5 linked regions of the Kluyveromyces lactis genome follow. The protein of the gene in region 5 interacts with the protein of the main gene of each other region in a pairwise test. Links are inferred from orthologs where the notes say so. Each region holds a gene or a part of one and is shown on either strand. Other genes may lie near its edges. The genes, in order: PEX3, INP2, PEX25, PEX11 and PEX19.

What was found.
Region 1: the proteins of PEX19 (region 5) and PEX3 interact in a two-hybrid assay, tested with the Saccharomyces cerevisiae proteins (6 studies listed by BioGRID, with this or other methods). The link is inferred for Kluyveromyces lactis from reciprocal best matches to the Saccharomyces cerevisiae genes PEX19 and PEX3.
Region 2: the proteins of PEX19 (region 5) and INP2 interact in binary tests that used the Saccharomyces cerevisiae proteins (3 or more experiments, as listed by UniProt). The link is inferred for Kluyveromyces lactis from reciprocal best matches to the Saccharomyces cerevisiae genes PEX19 and INP2.
Region 3: the proteins of PEX19 (region 5) and PEX25 interact in a two-hybrid assay, tested with the Saccharomyces cerevisiae proteins (2 studies listed by BioGRID, with this or other methods). The link is inferred for Kluyveromyces lactis from reciprocal best matches to the Saccharomyces cerevisiae genes PEX19 and PEX25.
Region 4: the proteins of PEX19 (region 5) and PEX11 interact in a two-hybrid assay, tested with the Saccharomyces cerevisiae proteins (6 studies listed by BioGRID, with this or other methods). The link is inferred for Kluyveromyces lactis from reciprocal best matches to the Saccharomyces cerevisiae genes PEX19 and PEX11.

What each region holds. Positions count from the first base shown.
Region 1 is NC_006041.1:1,508,218-1,511,461, reverse strand, and holds PEX3 (Pex3p), read left to right. Parts: upstream 1-1,271; coding exon 1,272-2,723; downstream 2,724-3,244. Other genes in the region: KLLA0_E16985g (uncharacterized protein), read left to right, coding at 309-827; SCF ubiquitin ligase subunit SKP1, read left to right, coding at 3,029-3,244. UniProt on the Saccharomyces cerevisiae protein: Involved in peroxisome biosynthesis. Acts as a regulator of MSP1 by inhibiting the ability of MSP1 to unfold target proteins.
Region 2 is NC_006041.1:162,232-166,222, reverse strand, and holds INP2 (Inp2p), read left to right. Parts: upstream 1-1,474; coding exon 1,475-3,475; downstream 3,476-3,991. Other genes in the region: MSS11 (Mss11p), read left to right, coding at 1-1,000; QRI1 (UDP-N-acetylglucosamine diphosphorylase), read right to left, coding at 3,590-3,991. UniProt on the Saccharomyces cerevisiae protein: Required for peroxisome inheritance. Acts as the peroxisome-specific receptor for the myosin V motor MYO2.
Region 3 is NC_006042.1:61,543-64,639, forward strand, and holds PEX25 (Pex25p), read left to right. Parts: upstream 1-1,285; coding exon 1,286-2,581; downstream 2,582-3,097. Other genes in the region: TOA1 (transcription initiation factor IIA large subunit), read right to left, coding at 2,987-3,097. UniProt on the Saccharomyces cerevisiae protein: Required for regulation of peroxisome size and maintenance. Has a role in the import of peroxisomal matrix proteins. Imports RHO1 into the peroxisome. Also promotes peroxisome division and biogenesis.
Region 4 is NC_006041.1:177,001-179,584, reverse strand, and holds PEX11 (Pex11p), read left to right. Parts: upstream 1-1,366; coding exon 1,367-2,071; downstream 2,072-2,584. Other genes in the region: DNA replication protein PSF3, read right to left, coding at 1-354. UniProt on the Saccharomyces cerevisiae protein: Involved in peroxisomal proliferation. Promotes peroxisome division and biogenesis.
Region 5 is NC_006041.1:441,685-444,503, forward strand, and holds PEX19 (Pex19p), read right to left. Parts: upstream 1,418-2,819; coding exon 515-1,417; downstream 1-514. Other genes in the region: E2 SUMO-conjugating protein UBC9, read left to right, coding at 1,762-2,235; SYO1 (Syo1p), read right to left, coding at 2,578-2,819. UniProt on the Saccharomyces cerevisiae protein: Required for proper post-translational import and stabilization of peroxisomal membrane proteins (PMPs).

The sequences.
Region 1 (3,244 bases), about 1.1 Mb from region 5:
ATACTGCGAATTTTTCGCAATGGAACAAAACGCATAATAATCTGCGTGCGTTTCGCACGTAGAAGTACTTCAGTAATATTTCTATTTCTTTATCCAGCGAAAATTCCATATTTGCCTGCCAAAAAAAAAAAAAAAAACGCAAGACATTACACACATTCATACCACATATATGGAGAACCTGTACTCAATACAGGGCGAGTAGTCCTATTTGGACTGTTGAAGTAACATCCACCCTCCGCCAGTATACTTAATTTCAACACTGGCCTAGCTCAAGAAGTACTTTAGTTTGTTTCTCGTCAGCATAGATAATGGTCGCTGATGACTTATCGAATATAGAGACACAGCTACGACAGGTTCGTGAGAAATATCGTGAGCAAGCACACTCGCTCTCGCCAAGCGATGCAGAATCATGGTCAACCTTGGCATCAAATTTGCAGAAAGTCGTCACAGAAATGGATCAGCTTTTGCAGCGGAACTCTAAACAGATGAACGTATCCTTCCTATTGAACCACGAGTCATCATCGCTTCAGGCTGGAATACAGCCACCGCAACCGCTTCTACAGAACCTATACCAAAAGAACGGGAACGACGAACAGCAGAACCATCTCAAAGTCAAACTCGATAGAACTGCGTTCTATTCGGAAAATTCCCCCTTCCAACATCAAATGGATCGGTCTGGTTCATTCAGACTCTGTCCACCTTTAGCACATACAAGTGCAGAAGATTACTTCCGCAACGATACGCAAACCCCAATTATGATCTCAGATGGCCAGATCCTGGAGAACTTGGCCAATCTTAAACGTCTCACTGAGATGCAACGCCAATAGGTGGATGTAATCTTCGTTTTCGTTTGAGATTCGACACATCACATATATGATCCATCTTTTATTTGAGTCATGCGAACGTTTTTGACCAATTATACACATATACACATATAATATGTATAGTAAAAGATAAAGCTGTAATGATACACTATAAAATATCTGTTGGCACCAGTTGCAGAACCATAGAGGTTCAATACCCAACGCAATTCTATCTCTTTGGTATATGTTTTCTCTTAAATCTGTCGAATTTGTCGCTCTTTGAGGGGGAAACAAAATTCGAAAAACATTAAAATAACTAACTAGCAAGTAAACATCAACATCAATAAAGTATCAAGACAAACAACGACACTAGGAAAGCTCTACACGCAATCTGACAACGGCTGTAGTGGAAAATCAATAGAAGAATTACATTGCTCTAAGTTATAAGTTATTTTTTTACCCCTCATCATGACTGGGAATCGATCTCTGGTTCAGAGACACAGAAAGAAGTTCGTTGTTTCTAGTGTTTTGTTTGCTACGCTATTTGCTACATGCGCTATTACGGTCTATTTCAGTAAAAGATGGTTGTACAAGCAGCATTTGAAAATGACGGAGCAACGATTTGTCAAGGAACAGATCAAACGGAGGTTTGTACAAACTCAGCAGGACTCGTTGTACACTCTTTATGAATTGATGCCGGTAATGACGTTAGTGTTGGCTAAGGATTTCGATCTTGATTCTATTGTAGAGGCTCTAAAGGGGAAAAAGTTACAGAAGAAGCTTTCCAAAGGTGAAATAGCTGGGAATGAGTTGGAAAATGAGGGCTTAAGTTCAGGAATGAGTGCGATGACGCCTGCACCCAGTGTGTCAGCGAAATCTCCGCAATCTGCAGATACCACTAGCGTTTCTGAAACGTCTACGAAATCCAAGGCCGAGCTTTGGGACGATTTGAAACTCAAAGCTATCACCAAGATCATTATCTTGTCCTATACCACATCATTATTGATGCTTTTAACCCGATTGCAATTGAATATATTGGCAAGAAGAGAGTATTTGGATACTGCCATCAATTCTGCCATGGAAAAGGAAAGGGAAAAGAAGGCTAATCAATACTCAGTCTTATCTTGGTTCTCTAGTTGGATCACTGAAAAGAGCAACAATTTACCCAGTGAAAAAGCTGACCCAAGAAACAGCGATGGTACTATTGACACGGACACAAGGAGCATTGCATCCACTGCGAACCCTGAAAAATCGAGATACGTTAACGAACAAGCTTTCTTATCCTTATCGTGGTGGTTATTAAACCGTGGATACCTACAATACAAGAGTATCATTGAACAATTGGTGAAAGAAGAGTTCCAAAATTCGAACCCAAGAGATATCATGACAATGGATGAGTTCAGTGGCAAGATAAGCAAGATATTCGTCACCACAAACAAGCAATTCTTTCAACAGCCACAATCGAATGAAATGTTCATTTCATGTCTACTTCCTGAACCTAACTTAGAGAGATTTGTTCTTCAACAAACTTTAGAACAAGATGCTTTGAAAGTACTATACGAGGATAATCTATTACTAAAACAACTTGTACAAGAGACCAACAAATGCCTACAATCACCTGGAACATGGATTGTCCTGGAGTCTTTAATCGATGAAACATTCCACACAATCATGGAACAAATCGAGGATAATGTCAACAGCAAATCGAAACCTAAATCGAATGATGACGACACCAAAGTAGTCGATATATCCAAAAATTCATATCAAATCGCATTATTCTCTATCGCCACGAAAGACTGCACAAACGAAATGTTGAAAGCGGGACTCGTATCAATGAACAACAAGTTCCTACAGAAACTACACTCCATCTCGGCACTTGACGATCTCAGTGCATGCGTATATAGTAACTTCGGTCTATGAAAACCTTACTTGGCCCTCCATTCAAGTACTGAAATCGCTCCATACCGTGTATGTAGATAGTTCTATAGTTAACGTTACTCTTTCACTGGCACTACGGGGTTTCTCTTCCTGTTTCTTTAATGGCCACGTGATCATAATTTTCTTTTCCTTAAGGTCAAATAACGAAAAGAATCGAATTCCCAACAGGTTGTCAATCAACATGTTATACATCTCAGTTAATGTTTGCAAGTGGATAGGAGCTTGGTGTTTGTAGTTAGTTAGCACCATAGAGTTACCAAGTGGGTTCTATTTAGTACCAGAAAATCATGTCCAAGGAAAACCAGAACGTTGTTTTAGTGAGTGTTGAGGGAGAGAGATTTGTCGTTGACAGGAAGATCGCTGAACGCTCACTTTTACTAAAGAACTACTTGCAAGATCTTAACAGTGGCGATTTGCATGATGATAACGATGCTGACGATGACGAAGATGATGAAGAGGATGGTGACGATGAAATAGTGATGCCCGTGCCCAATGTGAGGTCG
Region 2 (3,991 bases), about 280 kb from region 5:
CGGTAGTGGAAACACTCCTTATGCAACCAACGCGAATTCCTTCCCAGCAGGAGTGAGAGTACCACAGCCACAGGGCTCATTTCAACCCGTTCTAGGAACCACTCCGAATGCTGGTACAAACGCTGGACTTGGTGTGAATCCCTATCATGCAGCGACCTTGGGAAGTTCTAAATCTACTCCAAAACCTCAGAATACTTCGGTCGGAAGCAAAAATAAACAAACCAAGAAGAGTTCAGCAACTAATAAAGATTCTGGCGCCAATACTAAACCACGAGCTAATGGGGAATCAAAGCAGTTCAAAGGTGTTAATTCCTCGTCAAAGGTGAAGAAACCAAGCCCGTCCGGATCACAACAAGTTCAAGCTAACTGGACCAAACTACAGCAGAAGCAACAGCAACAGCAACAGCAACAGCAACAGCAACAGCAACAGCAACAGCAACAGCAACAGCAACAGCAACAGCATCAGCAACAGCAACAGCACCAGCAACAGCAACAGCACCAGCAACAGCAACAGCACCAGCAACAGCAACAGCAAATTCGAATGCAATATCAAAAAATGATGACTTTAATGCAACACCAACAAAATCAACAAAATCAACAGCATCATCAGTTGGGTAACCAAAACATACTTCCAGGACAAGGGGATCCATCAGATAATTCAAGTCCGTCCCAGCAATATCTACAACAACAGAGAGCTTATGAGAACATGGTAAAATCACAACAGCAAGACCAACCAATGAACAAAGATCATTTTGCCATGTCACTCCAAACACAACAGCCTCAAAGTTTTGATTCATATGCTATGCCAGCCACTATGGGTCCACAAGCATCTTCTCAGCCTTTAGACAATAATAAAAAATCAGAACCTCTCTCAAAAATAGATGTTACTAACAATCAAGATTTCAATACATTCTCTGGTGGTTCAAATAACAAATTGAATTTTGGTCAGTTTGATATGTCAGGCTTGGGTAATGAATTCATGGGAGGGCGGAAGCAGTAATATGTATGTTTTACATGTTAGCTCCCTCTCATATCCGTAATACTAGTCAAAATCGAAATCAAATGACATCTGGTTTTTGACCAATGTAATTTACCGCATGGCGACGACCTAAATTTTTTCCCTTTCTTTAGTACCTAGAGTATATACCTTTCCCGTAATTAATATGTAACATTAAACTATCTGATTCGTTTTCATTGATGACTTCATTGACACTCTCTTTCGTTCTGTTGCCTTAATCTCGACTCTTGATAATGTCTTCCTGCCAATTTGTTCCACGATCAATTTTGTCGGATACTACTTTCTTTGTAAACGTAAACAAACAAAAAAAATAAAAAAAAAGCGTAACTTGATCTACATATAAATGACATCTCACTCTCAATACATTGGACAATGTAGCACAAAACTTCGAGGCTTGTCAAGCGGCTCATCCATCAATCCAACAGGTTGAATATCCTCTCATTTTGAGTGAAAACAATGGACATTTTCCAAGCGGTGCCTTTGCATCTGCAAATCCCTAGGATTGAAATTCCCAAAATGGCATCTGCAGCATCGACTCCATCAACGATGTCTTCGTCACAGACTTGGAGCAGTTCACGCCCACAAGTTCCGATCAGTTACCAGCAGTTGCGCAAGCTTAGTGAGTGGGGTATTGAGGCTTTGAAGGACACTTCGCCGACTGTTGTAGGCCAAGATCGCTTTGAATCACAGGAGATTCTGATTGATAACGATTACAGAACTGATTTTCTGAACTCACATGAAGAAGATAGCCGATGGAGTAAACAAGTAGATTTGATCATGAAGCAGCTACCTTATGGTGACCTGGATGCCTTTGTTGATGAATTTCACTATGAAATCATTTCCTCGCAACTGTTAACAAGCTCGATCGCTTCTCATCACCAGTTATTTACTGTTCAGAAATCAATCCTGAACTTCAATAAGGAAAACACCCTATCGATTCACAACGCTGAAGGAAAGACTATACCTACAAAATATGGACAATTGTTAATTTCTGGAAAAAAATTCTATTTACAGAGAACAATTCCATACATGTTCACCATATTGACGGCAAGAAAAGCTTTCCGTAAAATGCTTTATAAGAGACATCTACCTAGATCCTCTCTGATGTCCTTATTGATGATTGCTGTTTATCTAGCTTTACAGCAAGAGTACTTCCATGCAAAATATTCCAAATACACTGCCCTTTTAAATCTACGACAGATGAATGCTGCATTGCAATCTGTAGACAAATTAATCTATCGTTATCACCTGACTTATAAAGAGCTGACTATTTACAAACCAATCGCATTGACTGAAAATCGTGGTCTACGTTCAGATGAAGCCAGAACACTGACATTACTAACAGATGTCCTTACATGTACAGTAGACCAGTTATTTCACAAATTGAACATTGCATCTAGTAACATTTTGCCGGTTGTGAATGCAGTTCAGTTAACTGATTATATCAGTATTTACAATGTGGATTTGCAAAGCCTATATCAAATGATCCGAACAGTGGAAAGTCTGGACATTACACAAAAGTTGGAGAGATTGCAATATATGAGAAAGTTCTTTCTGTGCTGCTTACTTTCAATAAACTACACTGATCCACTGAAAAAGTGTGAGATTGCATTAGTCTTGAAGAGAATTTTTCCTGGATACCATGTGGAAAAGACTTCCGACATAGAGCGATTTCAAATAATCTCGAAACAATTATACACATTAACACAAGGTATCTCATCATTGTTGCCCGTTTTGCATCATTACAAACATTTACTTTTATCCGTGTACGGAAGTACTATTGAAAAAGAGGATCCCGAATCAAAGGAAGCTGTAATAACCCAAAGTATCTATCGCTTGTCTGAATTGCAGCGATACTTGATGAAACAGGACAAAACATCTACCGAACTCTCTTCTCACCTGATAGATGAGTTGAATGGAATAATACAAATATGGAATATCGACTATAAACATAACTCGCATGAACAGTTGAAACCACCGAAATGTTCTCCTCGGCCTTCCAGTCAGAGAGTTTTCAGCGGTGGACTCAATCTTGATATCGTAAAGACGACCAGTGATATCCCCGTGGTAGTTGATTCATTTCCGAAACTCACTTCGCTAGTAGACGTGTTAGAAGTAGATGAAACTGGGTCAGACATTGAAAAAGAACATGAGGAATTGGTGTACGGTACTGAAAATGATCAAGAAACAGCTTCTAGCAACGACTCTAAGTTTTCTCGTTTTACAGACGACCAGTTAAGGCACGAATTAAACCAACGAATACTGAATCTGTCAATTGAAAATAAGAAAAGTAGAGAAAACTTGAGAAAACAGAAAAGTTTTGAGCTGATGAATCGGAAAATAGAAAATCAGAAGAAGGGCAGGCCCCAGATAGATTGCAAAGGTCTTTTCAATTCCGAAGAGAGTATACCAGTACTTTTCGAACTAAAACAATTTTTAAACAGAAGAAGTGATTGACCTACATCCAATATTGATATCACTTGAATGATAAAAGTATGTATTATTTTAGTATATATAATAAACTTAAACCACCAGCATTATCGTTTCGAATATATTATAAACACTGCCTGGTTAGTTCAAAATTTCGCCTTGCTTATCGAACACAGTGCCTTTATAAGAGTCAAGGTTTTCCCCGCCGTAAGACAATAGACTTGAAACTTCGACAAGAATTTCATCATTGACTAGTGCTCCTACATCTTTCAACCAAGATGTAGTTAAATGAAGGTAAGCATCCCTAGCAGTTTCAGGATTATCATTTGCAGTTCCAGGAGCGTTTTTTAGTGGAGAGAATTCTTCTGCTCTTTCGACTTCCAAACAACCAAACCTAGACATAGGAATGGAGGGGAAAACGTCAAAAATAAACTGTTCTAACTTTATACCGTTAGGTTCTGATGGTTTCACATATTTGTCATTGACATTATCGTAGTACGAAATTTTCTTTTTGGCTATATGATATGGCATAGATTCTACCCA
Region 3 (3,097 bases), on a different chromosome or scaffold from region 5:
CTCGAAGGGAAACTCGGTTCTTTATATACTTGACGAAAAACTATAACGATCCCATTCAGCGAAACATGTTCGAGAAAAAATTCGCCCCTGTTAATTCATAATAATCCGTTAAGTGCTTGTGTATACCGATGCTTCTCCTCTTCATCTCTTTACCGTTCTCTTGTTCCTGCACTTAACGACAATAAACTTTCCTTTGACGTATTTTACCGATTTTCCTGATAATAATACATAGTTAAAAAACAAAAAAAAACAACCATATCCTATATAATGAATCGCCAAACAATATGTTGGAGGGGACAATTGCTAAGGGTTTCAGGCTAGATAAACGTTTATGTGTGACATTCCATCACATGTAGAGATAGAAGAAAGAACATGCCTCGAAAATTGCTACTTTGACGGCGATTGGACGGCAGGACGTGAAAAGAGGATGAGTATCAGAAAAAGGAATTGTTCTCATCTCGAGATAAGAATACATGTCAGTCTTGATTTCGCTCTCTTTGGGATCGGTAATTATCGCGCTGCTAAGCTTGACTTGATGATCTATGATATAATAGTTTGTATGCAGCATTTCGTTAAGTGATAAAACTAGCGAAGATCGGGTAACGGAGAAAAACTAATGAACGTCATTTTTTCATAGTTATTGTGAGCGATCATTTTGAAGAGGTATTTCAAGTCACGTGCACGATGCCTATCTATCCAATGTTGGTAATGTCATCCACAATAGAGCGCTGAGTATGTATCGGTGATCAATCTTTTTGCCGCGTACTGGTAGGAGTATTCAAAGTTCAAAATATCGGCTTTTTGACACTAATTCCGAGCATTTGGATTATCCAGTAAACCCTTAAAGGCTTCGAGCCTTCATTTTTTTTGTTCCCACAGCTCAGTTCAATCCGTTGATGACTTCCTTTGGTGTTTAAACTGCATAGTCTCCAAAAATTAAAAAAATAAACCCAAGGAAAAATGTAAAACACAGAAAATCTTAAACAAAACAAATCAAAGCTGATGCAGATAACTGACGAGTCATAGATTATTGCACTATATTAAGAGTATCCTTTACATATGCCAATGCTGCATTAATCAGTCGAAAAATATCCCGGCAATAAATAGAGTCAGCAAATTTGGTTCCTTTTCCTAGTTCAGTGGTGAAAGAAAAGGATATTACTGTCTTCAGTCATTCTGTTGTAATTTCTATAATCATCTTGATCCTGAAGAATCGACTACTTAAGGACGGTGATAGCTCATAAGAAAATCATTGGCTCGTTTACACAATTCAGAATAAGTCGATATGAATGACGATTTTTATAGACCGCCTAATATAGCGGATGTAAGCATCGAAACGGAGGGATTTGAAATCTCAGCACGGAATGATTCAATGATGATACAGAATAATTCACATACACCTACAAAGTTGAATAACTTAGAAGTCACTGTTATTTCCAGTGATGGTGGAAGTAGTGGTACTAATGCCAGTGAAAAGAATGGTACATTATCTCTATCAGCAGGGGAAAGCACAATGGGTGCAACGAGTAGGGCGGACAGAACTGTGCATAATTCCTCTAAACGTAGTGACAGTGTTAAGTTGATCAAAGTTATGAACAAGGTTGATATTTTGAAAGCAGTTTTCGCGACACTAACGGGTAAAGATCGTATAGCGAAAATATTCAAATATGTGATAGATATACTACGAATTTTCATACAGAGGTCAATGTATTACAATAATAAAGATATCGACGTGGATGCTTATCTGAAATTATTTTCAAAAGGCAATCTGCTCACAATCCTAAGGAATCCAAGGCTTTCAGGTAAACTCTTCTTATCTAGCTCTTCGAAATTATTTCTCGAAAAGGGTGCTTTGGTTAGTAGCCAGCTAGGTTTCTATAGGCAAATCATGAGATGTGGGGGTACCCCATTCAGACTTTACCATTGGTACCAAAAGCTCATAAGCACTTTCTATGCGTCCCAAAAGTCATCAACTTTACATTCTAAAGGTCTAGTTTGGTACAAAAATTGGTGGAATGAGGAATCTCTCTCAGAGTTCATCGACTTATATTACGGAATCATGGATGAATTGATGCTATTATACAAACTTAAACTTTGGTCTAATAAATCGATGCATGCCTGGGTTTCTAAACACGAAGCTCTCTCATGGTATTACGACATTATGCTAGGGTTGAAGAAAAATTGGGAGAAACTTCAATCAATCAAACAACAGGAATTTGAATTGAAGATCCAGTATCAGGTACGTCAACGCGCATTGGAACTATCCTCAAAATTAAATGCCACCCCATCTGTTGATTCCAATAAGAATACAGCACTTATAAAACAGACTATCTTCGAGAGTTTCAAGCAGGACAACCTAGATTTAGAACTGGAAGTAGTACAAAAACTCAAGAACTACCAGTATGAGAAACGCATTGTCAAGTTTGATCTGACTAGACTATTCTTTGATTTCCTAGCTGATACTACAGATGTGTTCTCTATCAAAACACCACCTGGTACATATGCCATTTTGTCTCTATGCTCTGGTGTACTTGGATTCTCCAAGCTATGGATACAGGCGAAAGAGCAACCAAATGAATGAGTAACATACCCTTTGAAAATGTGTACCAAAAATTTCTTAGTACATTTCCCTGTATAACTCACAAGTAACACAAAGTATCAATAAGCTACAGACAGGCTATATTTTAGTGACTTTTGCAATGCTGCTTAAAAGAAGTGCTCAAAGACATATAACTTTACATGGGTACCTGATTAAGATCCGATTTGGACGGCTTTGCAAGCGATATTATATAAATTATTCTATGAATTATATAGTGTCAGAAGGTTAGAGAATAATGAATTAACATCAATAATGATTAGGAGATATGAACATAAACCTCTATGATAGAAAGTAGGATAGAATAGAAAGGAAAAAAAAATATTAACTTTAGAACCTGAAGTAAAGAGAAAAATAATGCAAGGAGACGGAACTAATGGAAATGGATAATTACCATTCACTTTCTCCCTGGGCTTTCTGGAAAGCAAAGTCTTTATGGTCTATTGTCACTACACCTTCTTTTAAATTACACTTCCACTTATTTTTGACTCTCAGCACCTT
Region 4 (2,584 bases), about 260 kb from region 5:
CGAGAACAGTGTGGCCCACTTCTCAGCCAGGGTGTAGAAATGAGGGCTAATTGAGTGAAGATCGAGACTAGTAGCACCAGATTTAATAGCGTTTAGTACTCTTGGAGCGAATAAATCAGGCGGGAGCAATTCGACAAAAGGAAGAGGTTCTTCAACTCTAGAATCTTCATTAGATTGCGCACCCACTACAGCAAGAAGATGGACCATCCAAAGTGGTAACTCTAGTTTTGCATTTTTCGATATTGGTCTGCCTGGGTTTCCCTCCAGATAACCCAACCCAGGAACGTCATAGTTGAATCTACAGGGAAATCTAGTACCATCAGCCAGTATATCATCTATATCATAGTATCCCATCTCGGCATAAATCTAAGGCGATTCTCAGGAAGCTGAACCGGCAAAATATAGGCTGGTATTTGGAATTGTAATCTTACTTTTGGCGTTTCTTCAATATGAGATATACAAATGCTTTAAATGATTTTAGGTTTGGGCTTGATGGCTCTAAATGTAAACAATAGAAAAGAACGCAGTATTATAAAGCAGAAGACATCGCTCGCTAGTTAACGATTCTTTTTTACGTGTTTCGCGATGTTGAGAGGAAATGCATCTCGATGATATAAATCACGTGATTGATGCTTGCACACTACAAAATCGTCATTATATCACTGTACACGATTCGCATACATGGCTTTCTCGTTGTCCCTTTTTTTTTTCTCGAGTTTCGGAACAAATCGGGCCATCCTTTTCAAGCTGTTAGCGGAAGGACATTTGGTCCGAAATACACGTAAAAATGTGCGCCTACATACTAAATATTATGTCGCCCTTTTTCCCGGGATCCCAGTCTTCACCTAGTAAGATTGCTATTGTTGCATGTCTTCCCCCGGTACAAATGTCCTTAATACAGCAGGATCTTCCGTGCTAGTAACTTCGCAGCTCTGACTTGTCCCTCCCATTTTTTGTGGGGGACCCGAAAGAAGTTGATAATAAAGTACGTTTCGCTGCTAAGTGGAAATCCTCTCCTTTTACCGTAGAGCCTGACTATTTTCTGTTGACCCTGCTTTGATCTATGCCCATTGACATATGAAGTATAACATCACACTTTATATATATATATATATATTTATATATAAAGTAGAAAATGACTGCTGAAAATAAAGACAAGCAGTTTTAAGCATTTTCACTACTCCTTGTATTCCTATCTCATCAGACTCTGTTGAAATACGTTGCACCTGCGATACAATCTCTCTCTAGTGCTTTGTTTGAATATACTGTTTCCAATATTCTACCTCCTTCAGAAATCAATTGAAATACTGAGCCAGTTATCCTGAGTCATCTTCCACATCTAAACTTATAAGTTTTACAAACAAAAATGGTTTTAGACACAGTTATTTATCATCCTACGTTGACCAAATTCATTTCTTTGTTGAATAAAACAGCCGGCAGAGAAAAGATCTTGAGATTGCTACAGTACTTGGTTAGATTCCTTGCCGTTCAATACAGATCTGGTTTGAATAGACAGTTACAATCTGAATTCACGTCTGTCAGAAAGATTTTGAGATTCTTCAAGCCATTGAATCATATCCAGGACGCAGCCAAATTATACGATAACAAGATTGCTCCAGATCAATGGGTTAGATGGTTGTCCATAATCAAAAATGTGGGTTATGTTGGGTATTTAACTTTGGATCAAATTAACTTGTTGCGCATCCTAAAGTTAATCCCAGCTACTCCTATTACTGCCAAGAAAGTTCCTCGTTACACAAACTGGTTTTGGTTCGTTGCGTTGATCGCTGGTTTGATCACCGATGTCCGTAAGTTGTACACTTCTCAAAGAAAGATCGAAGCCTCTTTGAGTTCTAAGGGCAATGCACCAACCGAAAAGGCTAGTTCTGAAAAGTTGACCGCTTACTACAATGAGAGATTCGCCGCATTCAGAAGACTAATCTGGGATTCTATCGATACTTTCATTGTCTTAAATAACTTGCAATTCTTGCGTAATGACGAATCAAGTGTCGCCCTGGCTGGTGTCGCTACATCCGTCTTTGGTCTACAAGATGTCTGGAAGACTGCTTAAAGGACTTCTCCTTCCCTTTAATTTAGTTTATATATATATATATATTTATATGTATCTTCTTTCAACTTAACATATTACTCGATATGTTGATAATTGTAATTTCAGCTGGTACCGGGATAATTTCTGATGATGCCTCCGTATTAACTAGATGTCTGTGCAGCTATTAGGATATACTATCACCATTGTTTCATCATTTTAATACCAATGTTACCCGCACTTGTTGATGTTTACACTTTTCGACAGGCTTCAAAGTTGAAATTGTTGAAAACTACTTGAAATTCCATTTCATCGAGGACATTAAGCGAGCACCATATTCGCGGCTACTCTTGCACTTCTATTCGTAATTCATTGCTTCTGCGGGATAACATCACCACTATTTTTATAGGTGGATATTCCTCAATTTAGACTAATCGCTTTGGGATTATTTCATTCTGTTCTTTTCATTGAAAAGCCGGTTGTTAATCTGATCTGGTATTCGAAATACAGCAGATTGTTAAAAAGACAAAAGAATTG
Region 5 (2,819 bases):
AAAACAATCCTCTTTCACTATGAAACAAACTTCGTCCAAAATTTTAACATGGTTTAAGAAGGTAGATCAACTCTTTCATATTCAATTTTCTTTTATTTTGGTTTTTCCATGCTCGAACATAGGACTGTGACAAAAATAGAATACGAACATTCCTCAATTTATTTTGTAAATATGCGAACATATGCATGTAAGAACAAACATGCTGTGTTAAAGAATGGCTAAAAGAAAGGGTGCTCTTTGAGAGGGAAGTGTCTAATGGGAGATACTCAGAAGAGTGCACTGTCCCGTATACCTTATGGCAAAAAGTTGTCACATATATTCAATCTTGCATAGTATATTGGTTATTATTGGTTTAGAGCTAGTCTCGTGATTTCAGTCCTCAATATGAATTTCAAAGTCGAAAAGAGAAAAATAGCCATATTATTCGAATATCATACTAATAGGCAAAGAGTGAAAGAAATAGAATAATAGTTTATTATGATTAAATATTATATTATGAGCTCATATACACATTTTATTGCTGTTTGCAGGTATCTTCAAGGTCTTTGTCGATGTTACCTAGATTTTCATCTCCTTGTATTTCCAGCATCTTGGCTAATTCTGACATATCGTTTCCAGGATCGTTACTAGTTCCCTTTGCAACCGGTGAGTCACCGAGTTGCTCTAGTTCATCCAATAGATCTGCGATCTCAGCATGGTACTTTTCATTCGTATAATCATCGCTTTCGAATACACCGATGATCTGATTCACAAGTGCATACTGTTTCTTGTAGTTATCAATCTTGTCGCTGTGTTCGGGGTCTTCTTCGTGTAATCCCATCCACTCGGTGAATTCTCCCTGCATTTGTTTCATCGGCTGATATAGCACTTCTTTAGAAGACATTTGTGAAAGCATTTTCAAAATGGCATTGTCCATTCCTTCTCCGTCCGTACCGTTGCCATCGCCGTTTTCCACTAGTTGATCTAGCAATTGGGAAAGAATATCGTCTGAGTTCTGATTTTTCTTCTCTTCCTCCAAACTTTCATCCACTTTCGTAGAATTTTCTTTCAATCTATCTAGGGTGTTGGAAATGATATTCTTGAAACCAGTACCGCTCTTCAATTGCTCCTGAACGTGTTTTACACTGTTATGGTCTTTCTCCTTCGATGCATCTCCAAGTACAGTTAGCAATGTCTCGAAATTCTGAACCATTTCTTGGTCAGTATCACCGCCTTCCTGCTGCATCAATTGTTGGAACTGTTTCTGCAAATCTTCCATCATCTCGACTACTTCTGGATCATCGCTCTGCGTAGCAGGCTCACCCTTAGTAACTGCCTCATTTGGAACAGTTTCTTGTTTTTCCTGTTCATCCAGTTTGCGTGGATCCTCTAAATAGTCATCCAAATCATCAAATTCGTCAACTTTGTTGTCTGACATCGTTTGTCGAAGTATCTGATTACTATCCGTTGAAATTTTGGTGGTGCGTAGCCCTTACTATTAATTATACCTCAGTTAAGGTTTCTTTAGTCACTGTCAATTCTGAAAAATATCACTTTTTCTTCAAAACACTATTGATGCTTTTTCTACAATATCAAAATCATCTTCAAAATCACAAACAAAAAGACGTATCGCACGGAATATCATATCCTCCAATTATTCAACAACGGTAAATCTGAGTTAAGGCTCTATTTACAACAGGGCGCAACGTACCTTAATATATTTACGGTATCTGTATATTAAAGCGACTCGACGATCAGAACGGCCGAATAATATAAACAGTCATGAGTAGTCTTTGTCTACAGAGGTTACAAGAGGAGAGAAAGAAGTGGAGAAAAGATCATCCTTATGGGTTCTTTGCCAAACCAACTAAAAAGACAGATGGATCTATGAACTTGCAGAAATGGGAGGCTGGTATCCCTGGAAGAGACGGCACTCTCTGGAAAAATGGTCTTTATCCTTTGACCATTGAATATCCTGATGACTATCCGTCAAAACCTCCTAAAGTGAAATTTCCAGCAGGATTTTATCACCCTAATGTTTATCCCAGTGGAACCATTTGCTTATCAATCTTGAACGAAGATCAGGACTGGAGACCTGCTATCACCTTGAAACAACTCTTACTTGGTGTACAGGATCTTTTGGATTCTCCGAACCCTAACTCACCTGCGCAAGAGCCAGCTTGGAGAGCTTTCTCGAAAAACATTAAGGAATATGAGAGGAAAGTCTCAGAACAAGCTCTTAGGTATACCAAGTGATACCTCCATAATACAACTTCGGAAGTAAACCATTTACTGACAGAGAAAATGCAAATACGCAGATGACGGCAGATATCAACTTGCGGGAAACCCTGGGCCTTCCCCAGCGTAAAGCGCAAATCAAATAAATTTGCTGTATTCTATGGCTCGATTTATTCTACGGTGTTGACCATTGTTATATGGCTGTATAGAGATATATCATAGGATGGAACGATCCAGTAGGTGTATAGTTCTCGTGTAAAATTTAAAATTAATATCAAGAATAATGCTAATGAATACTTGATTTATTCAATTATTTTGTATTTTACTATTATCAGGTGTAGACTGTATATATTTATTGTTTTATTTGTTACGTTCATTTTGTTTGTATGCAATAAAACTATCCAATGTAGAAAAGCAATCCTGACATCTTTCTTTCAGTTGAGGATCTTTGTTCTTGTCAACAAACTTGAAAACATTCTTCAAATTTAATGAAACCTGTGTTTGAAGTATCGAAAGATAGTTCAAGTTTACAAATACTGGTTCATCGTAATCAAAGTTCATGTCTGAGTATATTTCAAAGAATGTGTTCATAAAATCTACTA